Arabidopsis thaliana: one gene and its partners. The protein of the gene in region 2 interacts with the protein of the main gene of each other region in a biochemical or structural test. Each region holds a gene or a part of one and is shown on either strand. Other genes may lie near its edges. The genes, in order: TRO, BZIP60 and WDR5a.

The links.
Region 1: the proteins of BZIP60 (region 2) and TRO form a complex in vitro, tested with the Arabidopsis thaliana proteins (one study listed by BioGRID).
Region 3: the proteins of BZIP60 (region 2) and WDR5a form a complex in vitro, tested with the Arabidopsis thaliana proteins (one study listed by BioGRID).

The regions. Positions count from the first base shown.
Region 1 is NC_003070.9:19,072,232-19,075,991, forward strand, and holds the start of TRO (TRAUCO), read left to right. Parts: upstream 1-2,096; 5' UTR 2,097-2,167; coding exon 2,168-3,431; intron 3,432-3,723; coding exon 3,724-3,760. Other genes in the region: AT1G51440 (alpha/beta-Hydrolases superfamily protein), read left to right, coding at 1-323.
Region 2 is NC_003070.9:16,135,608-16,139,367, reverse strand, and holds BZIP60 (basic region/leucine zipper motif 60), read left to right. Parts: upstream 1-1,904; 5' UTR 1,905-1,908; coding exon 1,909-2,345; intron 2,346-2,855; coding exon 2,856-3,306; 3' UTR 3,307-3,645; downstream 3,646-3,760. UniProt on the Arabidopsis thaliana protein: Transcription factor involved in the unfolded protein response (UPR). Acts during endoplasmic reticulum stress (ER) by activating unfolded protein response (UPR) target genes via direct binding to the UPR element (UPRE).
Region 3 is NC_003074.8:18,411,595-18,415,354, reverse strand, and holds the start of WDR5a (Transducin/WD40 repeat-like superfamily protein), read right to left. Parts: upstream 1,792-3,760; 5' UTR 1,666-1,791; coding exon 1,000-1,665; intron 420-999; coding exon 132-419; 3' UTR 1-131. UniProt on the Arabidopsis thaliana protein: Forms multiple COMPASS-like complexes involved in histone methylation by interacting with different histone H3 'Lys-4' methyltransferases such as ATX1, SDG14 or SDG16.

The DNA of each region.
Region 1 (3,760 bases), 2.9 Mb from region 2:
GTGCACATAACCTAGAAGCTTTGCTTCATTTGGTGGATGGTTATCATGGAAAAGACGAAGAAGCAGAGAAGAGATTTTGTTTGGTGACAAAGCGAGACATAGCTTTAGTGAATAAGAGTTGTGATTTCTTGAGAGGTGAGTACCATGTGCCGCCTTGTTGGAGACAAGATGAGAACAAAGGTATGGTCAAGAACGGCGATGGACAGTGGGTTCTTCCGGACCGACCACTGCTTGAACCTCACGGACCGGAGGATATCGCTCATCATCTTCAACAAGTTCTTGGGAAGGTTAACGATGATAATTTTAAACCCACAACGACTTAAGTCGAAAATTAAATATAAATAGTTATAAAAATATTTTCGTAATTAATGTGTGGATCACGTTTGATAAATTGAGTATGTTAGTGTTTGATTAATGATTTAATTAAACTTCTATAATTATGGAGGTCATCACCATCCCCCATTCTCTGTCATGTATAAGCTATGATTAGATATATAATATGTGGTTACATGATATCACGTATATATGTGGTTTAGGAGAGATCCAATACAACTTTCATTGGTTAAAAGTTAAGCGGTAAATTCGTACAAATATAACGTGGAAGAAAAGTGGACCACAACAAAGTGCATGCTAAGAGGGCATTGAGTGCGTGTATCACTTGAAAAAATAATAATCATAAATCTCTGTGTTCCCCAAAATATGATATAACAATTACAATATGCGCACGACAGGAATTAAAGGATTCAGAGTTGTCATCATATTAACAGATAATGCGATATGTTCCACAATAAACAGAACAAGAAGTTGTTCCATATCTTTCGAGTTAAAGTTGTTTATATATAGATAGTTTTGATAGATTCTTTAAGATATGACTTTGTAATCTAATTAAATACTTGAAAATCGTAACTCATGAATATACAGAAAGCTCTTTTTGTCCATTGAGATCTCTAAATCTTTCACATCATGCATTGAGGAATCAGAAAGTGCTTTAACCTCAACCTTCTTTTCTCTCAGCCTTCTTAACCACTCGAGCTTTGCTCTCCTTGTCATATGTTTTGTGATCAAGGGATTAATTTGATAAAATTCTTCATATATATCTCAGTCCATACCTCCTTGAATTCAGCAAGGCATGTACTCCATTCTTCTTGCTTCTTCTTCATCATTGTAGGCAATGCACGACCATGATCCTTTTTTTTGTTTTGCTAAATCAAGACTAGGATCCTTCTTAATAATTTCAGTGACTTCCTTCCCATAATCACCATACAATGCATCAATGAATCTCATGTTTTGACCTTTCTCAACTAATTAATAATTTTAAATAATATGAAATTAATTTTTAAGTTTATTACAATAAAAAAATCGATTTTATTAATATTTTACGAGAAGCTTGAGCTAAAATTCCTGAAAATTTTGTTTTATGATTATATTGGTAATAATCCAGCAAAAGAAGAGTTATTCCGAATAGGTTCCCTGGAAAATTGGGATTGAATAGATGTTGGATGACTAGAATACCTCGTCTTTAGAAATAAAGAAGGCTGTGAACTTTTTGTACGACGTATGCCTACTTCTTTGAAATTTTGTGGTTGTTTTAATACTTGCATTTGGTTTTTGGCTCAATTTATAAGTAATCGGAAGTTTTTATTAGTATGTATATTTTTATGCAAGCGATAGGATAAACAAATTTTAGTAAAGAATAAGGATAATAACTCATTCCATCGTATTATACATTATATTTAACCACCACCAATTATAAATATATCTATTATAAAAAGATCAAATTAGAGTACTTATAATTTTTTAACTTTTTGATCTATTAAGTATTGATGACATTCTTTAAAAATATCAAGTAAAACTATTTTCAAATGTTCTATATAATAGTACTTTCCAAATAATAGTATAAAAGTTTAGAAAAAAATATATGAGAAAGCCAAATAATCTATTGTTAGATGCATAAACCGTTTTTATTTTTAAATGGACTAAACTACTAAGAAAACATGGACACCCCTTATCCAAACCCTAGTTTCTTACTGGGCCTCATAAAGCCCACATAAGTCTCTAACATTTAAAAAAAATAATTCACTGTTTCTCTGCCATCCGCCAGTCTCTCAAAAATTTGCAAGTCGGCGAGTGCCACAAACTGGCTGCATCAAAAAAAACTTCTGTTTCAATGGAGTCTCTTCAATCAAATTCCAAAATTGAAGAAGCTGAACAAAATCCCAAAATTGAAGAAGCACAAGTCTCAGTATCGCTTCCCGAAGAACCTACCGGAGTTCTTCTTCCCTCCGAACTGGTGGACGATTCAGCGCCGCCGGAATCATCCGATGCTGTCGAAGAATCAATCGAAACTGCTTCAGAAGCAGAAGTATCAATTTCTCTTCTCGAAGGAACTACCACCGGAACCGCTCTTCTTCCTTCTGAAGAGAATGATTTAGCGCCATTGGAATCGTCCGGTATAATTGAAGAACCAATCGATACTGATTTAGAGAAATTAGATGTAGTAGCTATGGATGTTGATCAACCCGGATCCGATTTGAAAATTGAATCCGATTCATTCTCTGAAGAAGCTCCGACTACTTCTTCCTCCGATAACCCTAAATCTCCGAAACTGGATTCTGTGGCTAATCAGAACGGTAGCGCAATGGAAGAAGACGAAGGAGATGAAGAGCAAGATGATCCACCGCATAAGAAGCTTAAGCAGCTAGATTGTCTTACTTCAGTCGCTGTTAAGGAAGAGGAGGAGCCAGAGCAAGTGCTTCCATCGGAAGCTATGGTTGTGGAGGAAGCGGCGACTCTGGTTGCGAGTGCGGCTAAGAAATCTAAATCGAAGAAGAAGAACAATAATGTATGGGTGACTAAGAGCACACGTAAGGGAAAGAAGAAGAGTAAAGCCAACACGCCGAATCCAGCAGCTGTAGAAGATAAGGTATTGATAACTCCGGTGCCTAGATTTCCCGATAAGGGAGACGATACACCTGACTTGGAAATTTGCCTTTCTAAAGTATACAAAGCTGAGAAAGTTGAGATAAGTGAAGATAGACTTACTGCAGGAAGTAGTAAAGGGTATAGGATGGTGAGAGCTACAAGAGGAGTTGTTGAAGGAGCTTGGTACTTTGAGATTAAAGTTTTGAGTTTAGGTGAGACTGGTCATACACGACTCGGGTGGTCGACTGATAAAGGGGATTTGCAGGCTCCAGTTGGGTATGATGGGAATAGTTTTGGGTTTAGGGATATTGATGGGTGTAAGATACATAAGGCTTTAAGGGAGACATATGCTGAGGAAGGGTACAAGGAAGGTGATGTTATTGGATTCTACATAAATCTTCCTGATGGTGAATCTTTTGCTCCAAAGCCTCCTCATTATGTGTTTTATAAAGGGCAGAGATATATTTGTGCACCTGATGCTAAAGAGGAGCCTCCTAAAGTTGTACCAGGTATGTCATGCGTCACCTGTTCTTTAATTTTCGTGTTCTTGTGGGGTGACTTTTCTGCTTTTTGGTAGTCGCATATGTTTTAAGTAGACTAAAAATGTGTATGAATGTTGTTGCTTGTGATGGTAGCTTTATCATGGTTTGGTAGAGAATAGATAGTGGAGATTCTTCATAAAGATAAATGCCTTAGTTTTGTTTTTGCTACCCTCCACATCTATGATGTAGATGGTATCTGTGCAATTCTGGAAGATTAATGACCAATCTTTCGTTAACGATACCTTTACTTCTGATGCAGGCAGTGAAATATCGTTCTTCAAAAATGGTGTATGTCA
Region 2 (3,760 bases):
TCATGTTCTTCAAATTTTAAAGATGTTACTTAGGACGTTGGGGAAGTTATTTGAAGTTTGGTGAACAAGGAATTGTAGTACATGTGGTAAGTATTCCCGCTTACATACAAACAAAAAAGTAATATACAAAAGGAAATATATGCTTTACGTAGTTAAATAGCTTTGTTAGAGTCCTCTCTATTAGTTTAATTACAAAATTTGCAATCCTTATATTTCTTCATAGGTATTTAATTAGCATTATAAAAGAACTATATCATAGAAAATATACACTATTAACTTTCGATAAGTGACTTTATGAACCACGTCATTAGATCACAAGTCAGGTTAATACAATTGTCCTAAAATTATAATTAATGTAAATAATGTGTTACTAAAATTATAATTACTAATGCTATTATTGACAAGTTCGGTTGATAAGCAAGTCCAAAATCAAATCTCATCAATCAGACTTCTTGGGGACAAGAGATACGACCTCCAAATTTGGTTTTTGTCCAGAAGTTAAAACTAACATCATCTAGCTTTTTAATATTTCTATTGGTGTTTAAAACTTGTCTTCTATTCGTTTCTAATTGAAATTGCACTTTATCTACTTTTTTTAAAATATAATTTAACATTTTATTGAAAAATATATAATCATCAACTGCTTTTAATGTTAAACTACTTTTTAAGTACTTTTTGAAAAAGTGTAATTATTCACACAATCTTGAAATAATTTTCATCGTAAAACAATTTAATAGATGTTAATGTTGGAAATATATAAACATCAGGAATTTGAGGATGGATCTCTGTATACTCCTCATCCTCTGTATTATATTATTTAGATAGAGATTAATGATAATAAGCTACCAAACCATTAGCTAATTCACTATAGTAATATCTATTCCTATTTTAAGTTATGACTACAAAACATTAGCAAATAAACCTTAAATGAGTATGAAGAAAATAGTAAAATATATTTATTCTTTAAAATACATATAATAACAAAAATAAATTTAGAATTGATACAATTAAAGATAAATAATTAATAATAAATGTAAATCTTACATTAATTATTGAATGAACACATAGAAAATAATTAAATAATAACGTGACATTCATATGAAAATAGTAGATCAACTTTCACATATATAATTAGTTCACTCATCTGCTAGAGAACTGAAAATTTTACAAATTCATTCATGTGAGATTGAATGAAGATTAATCACTCATTTAAAATTGAATAAGGAAGATAATCCAGAATGTAACATAAATTGACAATATAATATATGATTTTAATTAACAAATTGATAACTTTCAAAGTCTAGAAGATGGTCACGAAGGAAGAAAAGTCCTCTCGGAGAACAAAGATTCAATCGTGGAAGATGTTGACGGTGACAAAGAGAAAAAGGGACTGAAGAATTTTGATTGATTTCTGAGAAATGGTCAAAGAAGCCTTGCTCTCCTTGGTCTCATTGTCCATCTCAACTACATGTACATCGTTTTGACTATAGCTAACTGGTTTACATAACTGTACCGAAAATAAGAAAATCAAACCAAGAGAAAAGAAGTGAATTAGAACCGAGTTATTAATCACACGAACACTTCACTGAGTACACGTGTTCGGCTGTGATCCTATTCTTCCAGCTTGAAGCCTTCTCATTGGTTGTGTGACGGCACATAAAAACAATAATCCTCTGCTAACAGAAACACTATAACACAGTACACTCCATCACATCATTGGCTAAAAATTCAAAAAACGCGTCCATAATCAACACGTGTCATGCTGACTCTTTTTCTACACATTTACTTGGTCGCAAAGAAATTTAGAAAAGTCTCAAACACAGTTCCTATATAACTCATCTCTCTTCCAATTTCTTAAATTAAATTCGCTTTTTTTTTTCTTCTTTGTATATTTTTTTTTTTTTGACCATGGCGGAGGAATTTGGAAGCATAGATTTACTCGGAGATGAAGATTTCTTCTTCGATTTCGATCCTTCAATCGTAATTGATTCTCTTCCGGCGGAGGATTTTCTTCAGTCTTCACCGGATTCATGGATCGGAGAAATCGAGAATCAATTGATGAACGATGAGAATCATCAAGAGGAGAGTTTTGTGGAATTGGATCAGCAATCGGTTTCAGATTTCATAGCGGATCTACTCGTTGATTATCCAACTAGCGATTCTGGCTCCGTTGATTTGGCGGCTGATAAAGTTCTAACCGTCGATTCTCCCGCCGCCGCTGATGATTCCGGGAAGGAGAATTCGGATTTGGTTGTTGAGAAGAAGTCTAATGATTCTGGTAGCGAGATTCATGATGATGATGACGAAGAAGGAGACGATGATGCTGTGGCTAAAAAACGAAGAAGGTATATCTAATTTTACTCTTGTTTGAAAAGTTAGGGTTTATGGATGGATTTTGTATGTTTGTGTTGATTTTGGTTTCATTAAGATTGTTAAAAGTGTGTTATGCTTTGAGAACAACATTGAGAACTAGGAGATACGTATGTGTAACAGTGAAGATTTGAGAAACGAGTGTTTAAATTTTGCTTGCGTATCTTGTGATATGTTCATGTTATTATGTTTATGTATGTGTGACGTTGAAGAGTTGATTGATTATGAGTGATGTTGATTTTTGTTTCATTTAGATTGCTATAAGTGTGTTATTGTTTTGATAACAACATTGAGAACTAATCATTTAAGTAAATGACTGTTTAAATTTTGGTTGCCTTTAATTATTGTTAATCTTGTGTTAATATTCATGAGCTGATTATGTTCAAACATAGGTATGTGTATTTTGGTTAACTTAAGATTGTTAAAGCCTTTTATGCTATGAAAAGAAACTGAGGTTTGATAATTGGGATGTGATTGTGGTTCAGGAGAGTAAGAAATAGAGATGCGGCGGTTAGATCGAGAGAGAGGAAGAAGGAATATGTACAAGATTTAGAGAAGAAGAGTAAGTATCTCGAAAGAGAATGCTTGAGACTAGGACGTATGCTTGAGTGCTTCGTTGCTGAAAACCAGTCTCTACGTTACTGTTTGCAAAAGGGTAATGGCAATAATACTACCATGATGTCGAAGCAGGAGTCTGCTGTGCTCTTGTTGGAATCCCTGCTGTTGGGTTCCCTGCTTTGGCTTCTGGGAGTAAACTTCATTTGCCTATTCCCTTATATGTCCCACACAAAGTGTTGCCTCCTACGTCCAGAACCAGAAAAGCTGGTTCTAAACGGGCTCGGGAGTAGTAGCAAACCGTCTTATACCGGCGTTAGTCGGAGATGTAAGGGTTCGAGGCCTAGGATGAAATACCAAATCTTAACCCTTGCGGCGTGACAACGCCTTTTTTAACTGCTTCTTTTGCGCATTTTGAGTTGTAGATGAGTGTCTTTTAGTTTTCTCTCTCTTGTTTTGTATTTCGCTGTTGAAAGTTTTCTGTCTAATATCGATAAGTTAACAGTGAATGTGGGTCTTATGGTTATGGATGATATCTATCTAATAATGCTTCTGCCTTTAAAATGTTGATTTTGAGGCATAACTTCAGGTAATATCACTTCTAATTACTAGATAACAATTCATTAGGTTGATTAACATTGATAAAGCTTTTCCTCATGCTAGTTTTTACATGTTTGCTTCATTTGACATTATCACAGTTTTTTTTTTTTTTTTTTTTGTCATCAGATATTATTTAGGGTTCAGACGAGCCAATCTTTGGGATTGTCACAGAGATTTTTGTTTGTAAAATGTTTGGTACGGATGCGTAGGCAGGTAAAAAAAAACGAACAGATAG
Region 3 (3,760 bases), on a different chromosome or scaffold from region 2:
AAACAAAAATTAGACTTTTACATAATGAGGCTAGAATCAATCTAACAAGCTTAGTAAGCAACAGATGATTACTGCATGAAGAAGGTGGCATGTACCTACATGTTTGATTTCTGAAGAGAGAGAGTGATGATTTATTCTTTCTTCTGTGTCCAAATCCTTACTGTCTTGTCGAGCGAGCCTGATGCGATCAAGTTCTCTGTCGGGTGGCATGCTACGTTCATGACGGTCTCAGTATGACCCTCAAGTTTCTGTAGCAGTTTCTTGGAGTTTAGCTCCCACATGTGTACACAGTTGTCCTCGGATCCACTGACTATTCGCTTTCCATTTGTGACGGAGAACGCAGAGGAAATGCAATACTGTGCGTTCACGTGGCCAGTGTATGTTTTGAGGAACTTAGCAGACGAAATGTTCCACAACCTCTGCAAATTTATAACGAATCATGAGAATTCCTTTATTCAACAATACCCTATAGACGCAAACACCAAAAGAAGATGTATCTTACAACCCTCTAAATACGACCCTTCAAAAGTGTTGAATCTCGATCAATAACAGAACTGTTCCAAAGCTATCAACTTTTCCTTAACTAGATAACAATTTTTGCAAAAATAGCTTTGGATTGGCTTCTCCTACATCAAACTTCTATTAACACACAACCTAGAATCTAAGTTCATGGAGAGATGAGTGCATTAATAACGAATCATAAGAATTTAATTTCCTAATGCAAATTAATCAAACTCCAAACGACGATGTATCTTCGAAGCTACAACCCTCTAGATACGACCCTTCGAAACTCTTGAATATCAACCAACAACAGAACTATACTTAAAGCTAACAACTTCTCTGTAAACTTAGTTTTGAATTGGCTTCTCCTACATCAAACTTCTACTAACACACTCTACCCAAAATCTTCATGCTTTTTTTCGAGATCACTATAGAGCAAAACTAGTAATCACACTAAAAACATCAAATCTTTGAAAGGAATTCAACAAGTGAACTCACCAGCGTGTTATCAAGTGTACCAACGAGGATAAACTTGCCATTAGGAGAGAATCTAACAAACGAAACAGGAGGATTCTCATCATCAATCAGAGTTTTCACACAATGACCAGTCCCAGAATCCCATATACGACACAACCCATCATAGCTACTCGAAACAATGAGAGACCCATCTCTATTAAAATCAACAGCAGTAACAGGATCAGAATGCGCGGGAAGAACTTTCAAACACTTTCCAGTAGTGACATCCCAGATCCGAACAGTTTCATCAAACGAACCAGATACAATCATATTTGATTGAGGATTGAAATTGACACAGAAGGCGTAATTAGTGTGTCCAATAAGCGTCTTGATCAATGAACCAGTTTCAACGTCCCATAGCTTTAAGGTTTTGTCATCGGAAGCTGAGACTATAAACCTCGCGTCTGAAGAGAATGCAACATCGGAGATACCGTTTTCATGGCCGGTGAATTCTTGTACGGGCTCGGCGATTGGATCGTTAATGGTGTTGATTGTGTAAGTGCGGATTGTTTTGTCGGCGGAGGCGGATGCGAGGAGACGTCCATCGGAGGAGAATTTCACGGAGGAGACGGCGCGATTGTGAGATGTTAGAGTTTGTGAATGGACGTATGGAGTGAATGATGCTGTTGCTGGAATTTCCTCTGCCATGGAAATTGGTTAGCGGAATTTGAATTTGGCTGATTTTAGGGTTTTGGGAAAGGAGGCTTTGTCTAACTAAAGGAGAGAGACGACGATCCAGTGTTCTTGGAAAAACCCCGACTCTTTTAAATAAATTGTGGGGTGTGTTTTGAATGAAATAATACTATTGGGGTGTATTTAGAGTTTTCGTAAATTATATAGTTTCACGAGCGACTCACGTGCTCGCTTTCCAAGCTCAAACCTTCAGAATGATACAGAGTCTTTTGGAATGTCTTAAAATTTTAGTTCTTTCTTGCTTCGCAAATTAAATCAACAACACTCTTCATATATTGACTACCACAGTTTTAACCTAAGACTCTTTAGTTATCATGTAAGTTTGGTATGCCGTAACAATCATGGACTAGATTTTAACCCTCGGTATACCAGGGGATGATTTATTTTTTAAAAGTAATATATATTAAAATTTGCAAATTTTATTTTTATAAAATATTTATATTTTACAGTTTATAATTGTTATTAAGTAACACTATACCACGAATCCATGAGACAATTGTTAAAAAACTGAAGTTTTAACCCCTATTAAAACAACATATTAATAATATTTTAAAATTTTATAAATATTAATTCAAATACATCCACCATATAACCCAATTCCAAAATAAAACCCGTTATGTAATTTCTTTACCCGTTCCGTGATTTTTTTTTAAAGTAGTAATTTTTAAAATTTAAGAATTATTTATTCTATATAAAAGTTTTGCAAATTGTATCATTCTCTAATACATTTATATTTTATAGTTTAAGTTTATATATAGTAACATTATACATACCACATAACATTTTTGGTTTTATATAATTTTTTCTAAATTAGGATGATTTGATATGTTTAATATTAGTGGTCTTAAAAAATAATAAATTAAAGATTTAACCCGTATTGAAATGGTGGATTAATTATATTTTACTTTTTTTATTAATGTTGATTCAAAAACCCGTCCCTCCAAATCCGTCTTGCCAAAAAGCCATTTATTTTATTAATAGTAATTTTATTTATGATATGACTCTGAATTATAATCTAAACATTTTAGCTAATAACATAGGAGTATACCATATTTATTTAATAGGTGAATGTACCATATGACCCGAATGCACTTTTACCCAAATCCACCAAAAAAGTCTTGCAAAAATACTATAGACCTGAATGTACCATATTTTTTTTTGTGCTAATTTTTATGTGATTAAGATTTACTTTATTTCGTATATAAAATATTAAATTGTTTTACGAACTTAATTGTTTATAATTTGGTAATAGATAGATATTTGAATATTCAGTATATTTTGCTTTAGTTAGAAAATCTTTGATGACCCGTCTTTAAATCCAATAAGCCTATAATTAAGAGATGAATATTGTCGTTAAATGATTTTGGTAATCTTAATGTGTTATTAAAAGATTTTGTTTTTGATTAAATTTTTCTAATGGCATTGTCATGTAATTAATTACAAAAATTAAGGTTACATTTAAAATGTACTTCCCAAATAATATAGTAGGATACATCATACATATTTAATGAGTTTCAATCTTGTACTTGTGACGTTAAATTGATATTTTGGGAGTGTTATTGGTTTGTGATTTAATTTGAGTTTTATTAACTTAAAATATTATGTAAAATTTGTTGTTATCAAATTAATATTTTTAAAAGTTTGTTAAAGTTTGGTACTATTAGTTTAAAATTTGTAAAAAAAAATTTAAAATCTTCATAAATTTGGAGTTATTGGATTCATACTTTTATAAAGTCATTAAAAGTTTTGTGTTATTCAATTAAAACAAAAGAATCAATGATTGTTTAATAAATTAAATTATTGTGTTATTAGTATATAACTTTCTATATTTTTCTTCTTAAAATAAAGTCATGAAAGTATCATCAAAATAATGATATTATTTGGAAAATTTTACAAAATTGTGAGAAAATAATCAATAAGAATTAAACAACTTTCTAGCAATAGTTTAAATTAATCTTTCATTTATTTACTTTTTATAATATTATTAAGGTCATGAAAATTTCTTTAGGAACCAATAACATCTCTTTAGTATTTATTATAGACTAAACAA